Linked DNA regions of Oreochromis niloticus. The protein of the gene in region 1 binds, or shares a complex with, the protein of each later gene. Links are inferred from orthologs where the notes say so. Each region holds a gene or a part of one and is shown on either strand. Other genes may lie near its edges.

Region 1 (7,076 bases):
GGCTGGGCTCATTTATTCAGAAAGATTGATGGGTGGATGGTCAAAAGTTTAAAAGGTGCAGCTTTTTAAATTATATATTTCTACCTGTCTAAAAATGTAAAATCTTCAAACAATATATTAATATTAATTAATATACTGTAAATGATCTCTGGCCCTAGACTGGGAACTGTTGATTTAAAAGCAAAAGATTAGTTAATAAAAATACATTCAAAGGTCCATTACGTGGAGGAAAATGTACACAATCTTATGTTAAAACATGTATACAGTAGTTTCAAAATTAATCTTAGTGGTATTACAGCTAGTTATGACACAATCCAAGCAGCAGAAGCATCTTGTTCAGCAGCCTTTCACCAAGGACAAGTTACAAATATTTAATTATATAAAGTATGAGCCGTCAGATATTAGCACTTCTTGCTTCTAAGGTAAATCAAGCAGGTTATGTTGAGCATATAGGTCCTCTGTGATCTGGTACACCTCAGAGATGAGAGGTAGGGCCTCCCCCAGCTTGGCCACAACTTGCTCAGGCGGGCCAACATTCATTACTTCGAAAAAGGTTTGGCGACCAGGAAGCACGAGGAACGCCATGCCCGCAGCCTTACGGATCATCCACGGATGGTGCTGGGCAAGGGACTCGTTGTAGGCCTCTGCACACAGGGCAGATGTTTTACTGTCTTCTGTGCTGGTGCGCAGGCGATCCAGGAAGAGCTCCAGCCACCTCAGAGCGCGGTGGAGCCTCAGCAGAGTACGACAGCCAGACTCTGGGTGGCTTCCTTTCTTGTTCACATCCACGAGATTATTGTCCAGTTCGTATTTTACCATCGACTGCACAGTAGCATAGTGAGAAGCGTTCTCACCCTTCATATAACTCACAAGGATCTGGATCTTGCCGACAGCATCCTTAGAAATGAAGCCAAAGACACTTCCCAAGCTGTTCAGAAACCTATTACAAGGAGTAAAAACACACTCAGTTAACACCTGGGTGTCCTTTTGGTCTACTATTACAGCTGAGAGTATAATCAGTAAATTCTAAATGTCTGCAAATTATAATCAGTTCAGTTCACATGAGAAATTCCAAGAATTCACTCACAGACCAGAGCTGAAGCTCAACTCTTTCCCTTTTATGCTGTTCCTGCTGCAAAATATTTCACATACTTTTCACAATAAAAATGCAACATTTATGAAAGCTGCTGCAATTTGAATTTCAATTATAATTACAAATTCCAGTCATTTCTAAAATATTATCAAGATGCAGTTATTATTGTGCCTCAGCCTGTTTCGTAATGCTATCGTGTTGCCTTTGATTCCTTTACTTTTATTTTTTGCTCCTAAAATTGAAGAGAGTCCAAACAATACCCTCTGTCAAGCTGTTGTGTGTTTAGTCAGTTGAATTTTAAGTTAGTTGTATTTCAGTGAACCTAACTAACTAACTAAACCTTATAATCAAACAGCCCTGAAAGTCACACCGTTTGTTGCTGTGTGACATTCAGGATTTTTGTGGTTCAGAGTGGGCCTTCAAAAGGGCCTGGCAGGGCACGCAAGCACAATCGATTGATGTAAAGTAAAGGCAATGAGTTTGTGTTACCTTAATTAAACAATATTAAATGAATTTTATGGATATTTTGACCCTTTGATAAACAAAACTGTTTGTTTGCCTTTTGAATGCAACAAAACCCTCACTATACAGCTCTGGTATTCGTTTCTTTTTTCTATTGAATCCTTTAATTGCTCTTATATAAGAAAAACATGGAGCTTTAAAAAGGAACGCTCATGCTAGCATTACCAGTTTTGCAAATACTTTGTATTGTCGGCCTGCTTCTGTCATCACATTTTATTGATTTTTTTTAAAACCAGAAAGTCCACTGAGAATAAAATCTCTTTTTCCACAGAGACCTAGCCAAGAAGGTACACTAATACCAGGAATATGATCCTGGGATCAGTCTGTCGGTAAAGTAGACCCTTTCATATGTTTTGATCAGCCACCTATCCCAGCCTGTGATATGACCCTTGTTTCACAGACATTCGACTGCTGTAGTTTTGCAATTGAAACTACAATATAACTTTCAATACAATCCAATTTTATTTATTTAAAAATCACAAAAGTCACCTTAAAGTGCTTAACACTATAAGGCACAATAACCCTACAATAATACAGAGAAACCCCAACAATCAGACAACCCCCTATTAACAAGCATTTTGGCAACAGTGGGAAAGAACATTTCCTTTTAACAGGAAGAAACCTGTTAAAAGGGAGAACCAGGCTCAGTCAGGGGCAGCCATCTGGTGCAAGCAGTTGGGGCTGAGGGAAAGGAGACATGATACTGAGGCACAAAGTTGGATGCAGAAAACAGAATTGAACAAAAGGGGGATTTGATTTCAGGTTATACAATTGATTTTGAAAAGAGCTTTAATGTGTTTTTCAAACCTGTGGACATCTCCTGCAATAATGAAGCTGTAAGGACTCATAAAATAATTAATTAAAAAGCAGCAAATTTTAGCCCACCCCTATGTTCTTTGAGGGTCTGTAACCTGGAAAGTTTTCATGCCATGAAGGTGACACTTTTATTTATTCATTAAACATATGAAACTTAACATGTATGTATATATATATATATATATATATATATATATATATATATATATATATATATATATATAGAGAGAGAGAGAGAGAGAGAGAGAGAGAGAGAGAGAGAGAGAGAGAGAGATAGATAGATAGATAGATAGATAGATAGATAGATAGATAGATAGATAGATAGATAGATAGATAGATAGAGAGAGAGAGATTTTTTTTTTAAAGAAGAAGAGTCAGCTAGATCAGATATAAATCTCAAGACTTGATCTTAGCTCACAGTAAACACTCTGTCCTACATTTACCTTGCTGTGATCTGCTCGCCTTAGTTTACTTCTACACTGATCACTTACTTTACAAGCCCACGCCATCCAGCGACGTACTGTTCTAGATAGACTTCTTTATTTTCCGACAGACACAACTTAAAAGTGTCTAGGACCTCCTGGAGGGAGAACTTCTGGTCTTCTGAGCCTGCCATGGTTTCTACCAGGAAGTGCAAATGACACAAACAGGCACGTAAAAAATGAATGAAAAAAATGTATTTCGGGGCTACAAACAAACCGGAACTGGGTAAAAATGTAAGCCCTGTGGTAAACGATCAAGAAGTGAACTCGTCACCTACAAGAAAAGTTAAAATTGAAAGAAAAATTACGCATTTCTTTTTCTCGACAACGTGAAGTGACAGATCCTGTCTGTTCTTATCCGGTTCTACTGCGCAGGCTCTAAATTGGCGACTTTGTCTTCAAAATAAAAGCGAGGGAAATTTTTACCTTAATTGCTTCTTGGACTTATTGAAAGAAGTTATTATAACCCAAACACTGATCCCCCCGCACCTAAACAAATATTTTTGTTGCATAAACGTCACTGATGTGTGAAAAATAAAAAGTGACAAACAACATAGCCTTTGTATGCCAGAAATGAACTTTTATAAATGAATGCACCTGAAATCCCTGCAGGCAGTGCTGAAATTAGGTTAAAAAAAAAGAGCTCCAGACAGGTGAACTGCTACCTGAAATGTCACTTGAAATGGTAACTGGTGTGTAGGCAGTGAAGCAATAATAAGTAAGCAAAGAGTAAGAAGCAGCTGGGCAGGATGAGAGGACTTTAAATATCACTTTGGCCAGTTATCCCGTGACACCGTTTCAGTTTCCAAACCATAGCAGGTCTTATTAGCATCTTGTAAACCTTCCCTTTTATTCTTAATGCTATCCAGACTACGTGATGCCACTTTTTCTTGGTTACTCATTTTTAGAGGGCTCATACTCCTTATGCTGAAAATCTATTCACACATCTATCAGTTCAGTATAATTAAAAGTGGAAGACATAGTGTTTCTTACAAGAAATATAGACACTTGAATTTGTTTTCAAGGTTTGCTTGAAAGGAAGTATAGATTATCAAAATGACATATGGAAATAGTCTTCAAAACATTACCCAGGTGCTTTCCACCTGTTTTCTACAGGCTTTCATAGCAAGGGGTGTATTATTGTGAAAGCACTGGACGGAAGTCCTTCCTGTTAGCCCGACGCTGATAAAAAAATAAAGTCGGTGCATGAAATTAGCTGCATGTTTTAAAGCTACACACAATAAACGTTCCCATATATTTCAGAAGTTATTCAGCTGACACATCCTGGACGTTTAGGTCACCTTGGTGTCATTTACCTGTGTATATAAAAAAAAGGCTGCCCAATGAAAAAGCATGCCTGAAATAAAAGTAACGCCACTCGGTGAGTACCGAAGCTAGCTAGCTAGCTGCTGCGCACTGTTGTGTTTATTACCATTACTAAAGGAGTGTAATTCTGAATTTTTATCTTCTGTTCTGCCCTTCCAAGGTGCTGGACAGGATGTGGGCAGGAGCTGCATCCTCGTCTCCATCGGAGGCAAAAATATAATGCTGGACTGTGGGATGCACATGGGCTACAACGATGATGTGAGTGACATAGTGCATTTGTTATAGCAAACATTACAGTCATGTAATTTAAACACTATGGCATTTTTTACCCTTATTGGTTTCCTTTATCTTATTAGTAGTTATAAACAACCTGCACATAGCATACTGACAAGAATCCCAAATCAAAGCCCTACATGAGTCTTGGGCAAAATTAAAGACTCTAAAGTGAAACAGAAGTGTTTCAAACATGACAGCAAAAGTTAAGACTACCTAGGCTGCTTTACACTGGGAAGGTTTACAAGACTGTAGTGAGATCTGCTGACAAAAAGACAGGAGGCAGGTCTGAAGAAGTTAAGATTTTCAATAGGATTAGAAATGAGTACGTCTGAGAGACATTTCATGTTGAGTGATTTGAAGAGCTAAGGCTGAGATGGTTTGGACATGTTGGAGTGTTTGGGGGTTTTTTTTGTTTGTTAACATATATAGTTTTCCTTAACCACATTGAGGGCTGAAGCGCAATTTCCAACCCTTCTATTTTGCTGATGTGTGCTATACAGGTTTTGGCAAATGTTTTGGGGCTTTTGGGGAGCCAGCAGATATCTGTATGCAGTTTTGGAGTTGTTACTCAGAAAAGTAATGTGGTACACATTACTGTTTACTTTTTGTAAAATGAATGCAGTATATTTCTAAATTACTCATCGGAGAAGTTAATTCATTACACTGCTACTACTAACATCACTTTCACATTCCTGTGTAACTTGACCTGAAATACAGTGTCACATAATTATCATTTAATATAAACCCATGACTACAGTCCCACACACTGACACAAATACCTATCCTAATGAGGACACTAATGATATTTCTTATTTAAAACCAACAATAACACAAAGTAAAATTGAAAATCAGCCCAAAGAGTCTTAAAAGGGGTAACCACAGTGATTCTACTTAAGAAGATAGAGAGAAGAGTCTGACTGCTCATCAATGCTTTCGTTACATGTTGAAGATCAGGCTCTACCTGCTGGGCCTGGGTCTGCATACACTCAGCTTGAACATAACTTTGGGTTCTTCACTTTTTTTGTGTTAGCCTGCTGTCTGCGGGATGTTTTTGAAGAACCGATGGTGTGTTAGCAGTATCACACAGTTGTTACTGTCTTGGACTGTCTTTGATCCTTACCATCAAATTTATTGCAATAAAAGGACAAAGTGGGGGTTGGTGGATCAGACGGTGGTCTGAAGTCTGACGATCCCTGGTTTCAAAAACTAGCTTGTGGTATATGGAACATCACTTTTTGGGTGGAGAAGGAGCCTGAGTTGGTGTGTGAGGATGAGAGATTCAAATTTGATATAGTTGGACTCACCTCAGCGAGTAGCTCAGGCAATGGAACCTCTTGAGTTGCCCTACAGTAGGTGAGAGCAGACAGCTTGTGTTCCCTACTTGTACGTTGAGGTTTTCTCCAATGGATGAGAGGGTTGCTTCTTTGCGCCTTTGAGTCAGGAAACGCGCATTGACTATCGTTTGTGTCTGCGCACTAACTGACAGTTCAGAATACCCAGACACTGAGTGGGGTGGGACTCTGTTATTCAGTGATTACATTGGCAGTAAAGGTGTGACCAAGCTGGCGGAGGTGGGTGAGGTGGGCTGGGCTTCTCTATGCAAACTGCTGGTATTTGTGTACATTCTGACTTGGAATGCATTTTAAAAACAGCTATTATGAAACAGTTCTTCTAGAAAAGAGACTCTCCTTTTGAATGCACTGTTTCTACCTTTGAAAGAAGAAGATTTCCATTTAGTAACAGTCCTATAACAGATTGTTTTATCATTGCAGAGACGTTTCCCAGACTTTTCTTATATAACACAGAATGGGCGTCTGACAGATTTCTTAGACTGTGTGATCATCAGGTTTGTTGTCATATTTGTTATCTTCTTTATATTGCACCTTTTTTTAAATCATCTCAACCTTGTGTGTAACATAGTACACCTTTCTACGTTTTTCAGCCATTTCCACTTGGACCACTGCGGTGCTCTGCCCTACATGAGTGAGATGGTGGGCTATGATGGACCCATCTACATGACCCATCCCACCAAAGCCATTTGTCCCATTTTACTGGAAGATTTCCGGAAGATCACCGTTGACAAAAAAGGAGAAACCAACTTCTTCACCTCGCAGATGATCAAGGACTGCATGAAGAAAGTGATTCCTTTGAACCTGCACCAGACTGTCCAGGTGCAGTGCTGACATCATTTTTGACCACACACGCACACACATCTAATAGTTGCTTCTGCGCCAGCTGCTGCTTCTCTTTTGATGGCAATTCAAGCTGTTTGTTTTGTGCTGGTGGCAGGTGGATGATGAGCTGGAGATCAAGGCGTACTATGCAGGCCATGTCCTGGGAGCTGCTATGGTTCACATCAAAGTGGGATCAGAGTCTGTGGTCTACACCGTAAGTGTAAACAAGTCTGCGCTCTGTCACAGTAGGTGAATTTATCAACTGCAATCTGAGAATAATTTCTTTTTATTTTAGGGTGACTATAACATGACACCGGACAGGCATTTAGGGTAAGTGAACTTTACTGCATTTCTTGATAATCTTCTGGTCTTTATGTCAACACATTC
Region 2 (7,601 bases), on another chromosome or scaffold:
TGAACTGTAGAAAATATAAAGAGTACCTGAATAAAATAATTTCTGTGCTCTAGCCTTGCTGGGTGCTTTTCAGTATGCCTTTTTTGAAGGAGAACTCTTTTCATTCATTGCTTTGAAACCCAAGTTTGGTGCAGGAAAAGGCATCACATGGATTAGAGAACCTTGGAAAGAGTAAAGCAAGTTTCTCTCCCTGAAGTGGGTCACAACCAGTGTTTGATGAAACAAAGTAACAGTACTCCAATTACTGCTGATTTTTCAGTTTAAATAAGCAGGTAAGTACTTTTCAAAGAAGTAATCAACAACTGTTAAAATGTTACATTTTCCTGCTCCTGAATAAAACCCTGAAGCATCTGCAAAGTTTCTGTCTCTCCCCGATTTCTTGGGATACAGCCGTGGGCTTAGGAAATGTTGTATTTATTATTGTTAAGGAGTTAATTTTCTCAGCAGATAAGGCTGTAATCTAACAGATTACTTTATAATGGAAGTAAATTGTAGACTGTAGTCAACTGAGTTGTTTCCTTAACCGCCAAATTATATAGTTGTTAAAAGTGGATAATTCTACCTATGGTAGCTGCTGTAGAACAGACATGTTTTAGTCAGCCAAGAGAGATCAAAAACATTGGATACAGACTGTACGCCATGTTTGGACTGGCTCTGCCGAAGAGTTTTTGCCTCTGTTAGGAAGGCTGTCAGTCCACTGTTTACCTCAGCTGTCAATGCTGGGTGATAAACATCCACCAGTTAAAAGTTTTACAGTCTCCTCCAGAGGAAATAGATGTGGATGCTTCTTAGTCCAGTACAGCCCAATAAGTCAGAGAAGCTCACTTCTGATTGATGACAGCAATACTGAGGTGAGTTATTAAGGATATACTTAACTGTTGGTTGCACTGCTGTTTTTCCCACTGTTAGCCAGTATTAGATGCACTTCAAAGACATTTTCAATAATATTAACTTATAACCAGCTGTTGTTGTGTTAAAGCCCTGACTTCAGATCGGGTGATGAGGCTTGAGGTGAGGAGGAAGAGGATGATTGATTTAATTAAGATGCCAGTTGTGTTGTCTCTTTCCTTCCCGTTTTCATTTCTTTTGTCAAGTTGACCTTTTCTAAGGTGATCAAACATATCTTGAGTATGAAGTTGCAGGTACGAATTTCAATGTCGCTCCACTGCACCGTAGGAATGCCCATGACTTCTCTTCTCCTCTGCCTTTGTCACATGCATAAAACAGTTTTAGTCAGAAGTGAAGTCCTTAGCAGCTGGTAATACAAATACAGGGGAGGAACGTGGCGGTCTCCACAAGCTGCAAAATACTCCTGTTGGAAGTTGTTTCTATTAAATAACCTCAAAAATGACTGGCCTTACCTTTAATGTAACACGTTACTTATAAGGGTAATTTATCCAGCACTGGTCTGAACTCACCTTGTTCCAGGGATGTGTATGAGGCAGCGAACCGGGCCATCTGTGAAACCACCATGGGAAACTTTAAAATCCCGCTCTGCGCAGAGACTCTGAACACAACAGCAAACAGGAAAAGTTCAGAGTAACATCTGAATCGCCTCCTAGAGAAAAATAAATTCAAAGTTTGGACTAATGTCCTGATTTTTACCTTATTTTCATCAGCGAGAAGTTTCAGCGGCAAGCGAAGTTCTAAAATTTCATTTTTGGACTGACTATAGCCTGCGACACAGACCGCTACAAACACACCAAAAAACACTGATTAATACAAATTATTTGGCTGATAAATAAAAGAGCTGAAAAGCTGTCTTCTATAACAGCAAAATCAGAACCATGTTTTTCAACCCACATCATCATATTTTAAAATATTAGATCAACTTACTCTTCCCTGACGTCCACTCGAGGACCTGGGTGGGATGTTCAAGCTGATACACATGAAGGTCTTTGTACCTAAAGGAAAATAAAATTTCTGTATAGTTTATCATAAAACACAGTGAAACTCAATTTTGACAGAACTTATATATGGCTGAGCGCTACAGTCAAAAATGAAGGTGAGCCCACTTTATGTTTGTTGTAGTGACTCTATAAGATTAAAAAAGTATATTGAGTTAAAAAGGTTTTTTTTAAAGGAATTCAGAAAAATATAAATTCACTCTGCCTTATGCAAACCTTTCAAAAATAGCCCTACAGCTGCATTCCTGATGTTTATTTCAAGTTGTTTGGTGTCTCCTTGCAAATTGTCCATTTTATTGTGCACCTTCTTCTTTGTATGTAGTGCTGTTTGGTATTTATTCCTGTTGTCTAACTATTTAGATTTCCTGCACTGCCTCTGTGGAGCACCCAGCATGTCGTTGAACATGTACAATGACAATAAAGGGATACACTATCCCATTGTTTCAAATGCCTTTTAACCGCGACACCAGACTCCATTCACAATTTATGATATTTAATATTTTCTGTCTACAAAATCAACGCGACCATTTTTCTTTTTACCTACAACTTGATTCCTACAGTCGAGAGACCATATCATATAATTCGTCTTGATTATGAAACTCGAATTCACTAAATTTATTTTGAAAATGAATCTATTCACACATATAACACATCTTAAACCACGAATAATAAGCTAAGTGTAGGAGATAAACTAATACAAGGTGACAATTTGGAGCTTATTTAAATTTTAGATGAGATATCCGTAAGCCGAATTTAAATAAATTAAATATAAAAATAAGTACATATAAATAACGTTTTGTTGCGGTGTTTATTAACAATCTAAAGCTGCTGGAGGATAAAATGCCTTAAAGTTAGAGTTTGCTTTGCAAAACTGGTAATGTTAGTTAGCAAGTAGTAATAAAAATATAAACTTGACGGTTCTAACAAAGTAAAAAGTTTACTCACGTTTTCAGTGACTCGATAAACCAGTCATCTAAAATATCATCAAACTCTGCATCTTCCATCTCTCCCAACAGCTCCTGCAGGCATGGGTGCTGTTGCTCATCCACCACTTCCTGTTTATTTCCCTCTGCTTTTTATTCTACTGCTTCTTGGCTTCATGAAAACTACACCGCCACCTGCTGGTCTGGAGGAAGCGAGCCTCAATCTAAAATCACATATAGGGATTTAAGTTTAGATAGAAACAAAAATAACAGCAGGGTCTGTTCTAGCTTAATCAATGCAAGAAGCAGATAATCAAGTACAGAGGCCCGTGCAGCTGACTAGTAGCCTAAAGGTTGCTGGTTTGAGTCCCTGTTCAGATGCTGGCATGGACTCCATATGAGCTGTTTTTGTATACGACCCCCTGACAAAAATAAGCAATAAACAAATATCTGAATGAGCTGATATTCAAAAGCACTAATTTGCTTGATTCCATATGCAGCTTTCTACAGCCTGAAGAACACAAGTCACTGCAAGATGATTTGCAAATTTATTCTCTTGGTAACCCTGGCATAGCTAACACAGCACAGCCTCTTTAACTTTTAATTTGATATTTTAGGCCAACACAGCCAGAGGCGGCCTAAAATATCAAGACTCTCATTAGTGGTTTCAAGCTTTACAGCAGATGGTATCTACATACATACAATTAAAAGATAAAACAGCATACAGGAATAAATTCGAATCACATGATATTCGCTTGTTAAACTGATTCAATAGAAAATAGTAATTTTAGATATTTGACGATGAACTTACAGTAAGTTCTGAATTTTGCATCCCAGCATGAGGACGTAGCTCTGAGACTGCTTTTTAGTCTCAAATCACTTGTATTTATATAGTGCCAGTTCACAGCAAGGTGGCTGACGTTGTGAGGTAAAGACCCTACAGTGTTAGTGAGAAAACCACAACAATCGATCTCCCACGGGTAAGCACTTGGAGGAACCAGGTTCTGTGTGGGGCGGCAAAAGAAGAGAGAAGAAGGTGAGCATAGAGAGATGAGGTTAAAACGGGACGGCGCGATCATGAGGTTGGTGGTTTGATTCCCAGCTCATGCAGTCTGCGTGTTGAAGCATCCTTGAGGAGCTTAAAGCTGCAGAATAAAGTGCTGTGGGGATGAGCTGATGCAGCTTGCAGTAAAAAGTTCTTTGCTTAAGTAATAAAGGGGTGAATATATATCAGCCTATTTTCCATTTATTAACACAACTCAAAGTCTCCAGCATAACTAGAAGGATTTCGAGCCACCGGTCTAATGCGCGTACAGTTGTTCAGTTTCATGTACACGGTGCCAGTTCACAACAGTCATCTCAAGGAGGCCCAAACGAGTGTTTGAAGACAAACGCAGTGGAAGGCCGTGCTTAATATTACGGCACTCTGACAGCACATTTATGGTTTGCTGCCTTCAGATGGCCACAGAGGCTTAATGAACTGAAGACGCAGCATTTTTTTCCAAACAGTACAAAGCAGCTGTCATCAACAGACGCCCTGTTGTAGCTGCCTTCATTATAAAATACCACACAGATGAGTGAATTGGAAGTCATAAAAATGCCAACAGTGCGTAACAAGGAAGCACAGGAAATTACCAAGAGTCTCAGAAGAATATTTTCAAGACAACTTTTGGGATGTTTACCCTCCTCCAGCCTTTAAGCTGTGCTTCCGGTTGTCTCTATCAGTCTAACGAATGCAAAATAGTTGAGAGCGATTAACAGATTTTGAATTTTGTAAATAAAGCATGGTGTACTTGGGGAATATTTCCCCCTTTAGCAGAGCAACAGAGTAAAAGTTTATTTTGATAATGTGATTAAATGAAGCTGCCAGAAGGAAAACAAACCAAAAACAGATGTTATGTTTGGGATGCTGGGCGTTTCTAGTTAAATGATAAAATATTCAAGCCATGAGTGCAGCTTATATTTGTCCTCAATTTTCTCCAGGACAACAGCTGAAACCTCATCAATCCCACCATGCTCAAAGCTTCATCTCTCCGGCTGTTGTTTGCCGCTTTCTTCTCCTCCTCCTCCTCCTCAGCAGCAGTCCTGTCGTTCTGTTCCTCCGACTGTCTCACAGCAGACAATCTGAGTCACATTTCAACCTTCCATTTCTCCTGTTACTCCTTCAGAAACAAGTGAGTCCAAATCAGAGTCTGTACAGGACAGTGAAGACGTGCGTGCCTGCGTACAGGGCTGCAGGAACTGTTTGCTCTAACAAAATAATCAGTGACAGTTATTTCAAAGATTTGAGGTTATCATGTCTGAATCCTCATTTAGTAAGACACTAAAATATTGGTCTGTCAGTGCTTTAGATACGATAAAATGATGCTGCTGACAGATAGCAAGGAAAGACAGAGCTGGCAGTGCATTAAAGTTGAAGAGGTGAGGGTGAAGAAGATGAAGCTGGGAGAATGGAGAAAGGAAAAGGAAGAGGAACCCCCTGTTCAGCCTGAGCTGAATCAGCAGCTTTCACTTTCCTGTAGACATCACATGCTTTTCTTTCAAATCCAGTTGCCACTCTTCCCTTTCTCCCCCTGCCCCTTTTGTCTTCTTTGCCTCTTTTTCTTGCTTTTTCAGCTGTTTCTTTTCTTCTTTTACTGCTTACTTTGACTTTTGTCAGTTGTTTCTTGTCCTTCTTCCATTCTTTCTTCTTTCTCTTTCTCAGCTGCTTTCCTTTAGGTTATTTCTTTTCGTGACTTTCTTTATCCAGGCCATGTTTCTTATAGTTTCTATGCAAGCATTTCTTTTCTTTTCTCTTTCTGTCACCCCCACTCAGGCTCTTCTGTGGCATCCTGGATTTCGCCTGATCAAGGTTTTGTCTCTTTTGAACATTTACAATAAGCCCATGTGTCCAGGTCCAGTATTTCACTGCCGCCTTTTTACCTCTTCCTGGCAATCGCTAAATGGATTATCAGCCTCTGAACTGGCCCTCCTGCTGGTTGTCCAGCAACTTTTTCCTTTCCATCCACCTCAAGCAATGTGGTCAGCATCACACTCCTCTTTGTACAATGATAACATCTTGCTTTTTTTCTGTTTTCAGTTCATACTCACACAGGCTGCTGCACATTGTGAACTTTCTGGCCAACATCTCTTTGATGCGCTGCATGGCTTCTTTTCTTCCCTCTTTTAATTGGCAATTTTCAGCCTGAGTGGCTTTAAAGGCTTTTTGCACCTCCCTGTTGATATTTTGTGGAGCAGTACTCAAGAATCCTCCTTTGCATATCCAATTGTTTATTTAGAAGAAAGGCACTCAAGCCTCCTGGAGATGGTGTAGGTGGTGTAAATTCTGACTCCAGGAATCATTAAAAGGGCATCTGATAAAATGTATTGATTGGACAGTGGGAAGCTGCGGGAAACAAATTTAAAATCTGGGGTGTATATCTGACGTCACCTGTTAAAATTCTTTTCATTTTTTAAGCTTCTAAATTTTACTCAGCAGCAGCGACTGAACACTGAGTTTCATGAGTCAGTAAAACAGTCACACATCGCTAAACACATTTAACATATTACAAAACCAGCAGCCACATGCTTTCAACAAAGAGCAGCCTGTTTCACATTAGCTGTCACTGCTGAGTCTATCACACCACAGAGATGTGAATGGCCTCTGTCCCAAAGCTGTTGTTTCACACTCGCAGCAGGAGAGCCTGGGTTTTCCTCAGATACGATAATTGTTGGACTATCTATCAGACGAGCCGGATAACTGCCTCCGGCTGAGCGTCAAAAGGATCCCAGCAGGTCCTAATGCTTTCTGCCAATAAGCAAAGACAATAAACAGTGTGCAGAATTTCTTCACAGTCTGTGATGTGAGGAAGACTGCTTTACCAACATTGGTTCACAAACAAAGAGGTTTGGCAATACTCAGTGACAGCGTACAAGAAAGCATTACACAAATAAATAACTATTTATTTACTTCTGTGATATTGATTTAAGTCCTTATTTGATTAAATATTTTGAATGAGAAGAGGGGCATTTTTAGTTTCCAGCCAACTCTGTCCCAGATGGTATTCTGTATTTGATGCCATCTTACATGCAGTGATTCCTTAGTTTATGGGGGATTTGCTCCATTTTCCTTCCTGCTTGTGAAGAACTCTTCCAGCTTGTTGAGCTTTTTGAGTCTGCTGGAGGTGGGATCCACATAAGAACTGTGAAATACTCCAAAATAAAAGTGACCTCCTTTCTGATACTTTCTAGAGGCCTTTGTAAAACCATGAAGGACTCTGTTGCAGGTATCTCAATCCTGTCTTATTGCTCTTGTTTGCAAGTCAAGTGCTTGATGGCTTGAGGTTGGCTCCAAAAGTGAGTCGAGCCCAAGTTAACAGCATTAAAAACCATGTTTACAGCCAGGTATCTATGGTTAGTTTCTCCCCTCACTGCAACTATTTAGTTGTAGTTTCTTTGGTTAAATCCATCCATCTGGACACTATTAAGGCTTACACATAAGTGTGTGGCTTTGTTGACTGACAGGTATACCAGCATAGAGAGCTGTGTGTTACATATCACCTTGGACCTCTTCAGCAGTTTTTTTTAAAGGAAAAATCTGACCAACCAAATCCTCTTGGTCCATTACTTCAATTTTGATTTGTGTTGTTTTTCGATTTGGCCTTAGCTGATAACTTTGCACTTATTTCTGGTGGCAGCCAAAACACTAACGCTGAGGCTTCAAAATTTAGAGCCCCAAACTAATGTGTTAAGACACCTTGAGGGCCCAGAAACACTGCAATTTCATGGCCTA

Evidence for each region. The genes of interacting proteins can lie anywhere in the genome.
Region 2: the proteins of ints11 (region 1) and wdr73 are in contact, whole or in part, in a cryo-EM structure (PDB 8R22), measured with the Homo sapiens proteins. The link is inferred for Oreochromis niloticus from reciprocal best matches to the Homo sapiens genes INTS11 and WDR73. Residues at the interface, in NP_060341.2 of Homo sapiens: Tyr206, Thr208, Thr209, Ile210, Arg211, Asp212, Ser213, Arg215, Cys216, Arg217, Glu218, Arg219, Asp220, Leu222, Lys223, Lys224, His226, Phe255, Arg258, Met259, Leu364, Val384, Glu385, Tyr386, Ser388, Lys418, Lys419, Glu421, Phe422, Gln425; in NP_116245.2 of Homo sapiens: Asp5, Asp6, Leu8, Val9, Ser11, Leu12, Tyr15, Gln16, Phe18, Tyr19, Ala20, Phe21, Asp22, Leu23, Glu50, Leu52, Arg59, Leu68, Phe69, Pro70, Glu71, Arg72, Asp73, Phe74, Lys75, Val76, Gly79, Phe81, Asp116, Ser117.

What each region holds. Positions count from the first base shown.
Region 1 is NC_031984.2:8,378,761-8,385,836, reverse strand, and holds the start of ints11 (integrator complex subunit 11), read left to right. Parts: upstream 1-4,070; 5' UTR 4,071-4,266; coding exon 4,267-4,294; intron 4,295-4,399; coding exon 4,400-4,497; intron 4,498-6,287; coding exon 6,288-6,361; intron 6,362-6,457; coding exon 6,458-6,686; intron 6,687-6,804; coding exon 6,805-6,903; intron 6,904-6,984; coding exon 6,985-7,019; intron 7,020-7,076. Other genes in the region: cptp (ceramide-1-phosphate transfer protein), read right to left, coding at 418-940, 2,923-3,052, 3,222-3,225.
Region 2 is NC_031976.2:29,726,399-29,733,999, forward strand, and holds the start of wdr73 (integrator complex assembly factor WDR73), read right to left. Parts: upstream 3,005-7,601; 5' UTR 2,912-3,004; coding exon 2,853-2,911; intron 1,905-2,852; coding exon 1,837-1,904; intron 1,692-1,836; coding exon 1,606-1,691; intron 1,508-1,605; coding exon 1,419-1,507; intron 1-1,418. UniProt on the Homo sapiens protein: Component of a multiprotein complex required for the assembly of the RNA endonuclease module of the integrator complex. Associates with INTS9 and INTS11 in the cytoplasm, stabilizing the INTS9-INTS11 heterodimer and blocking the active site of INTS11.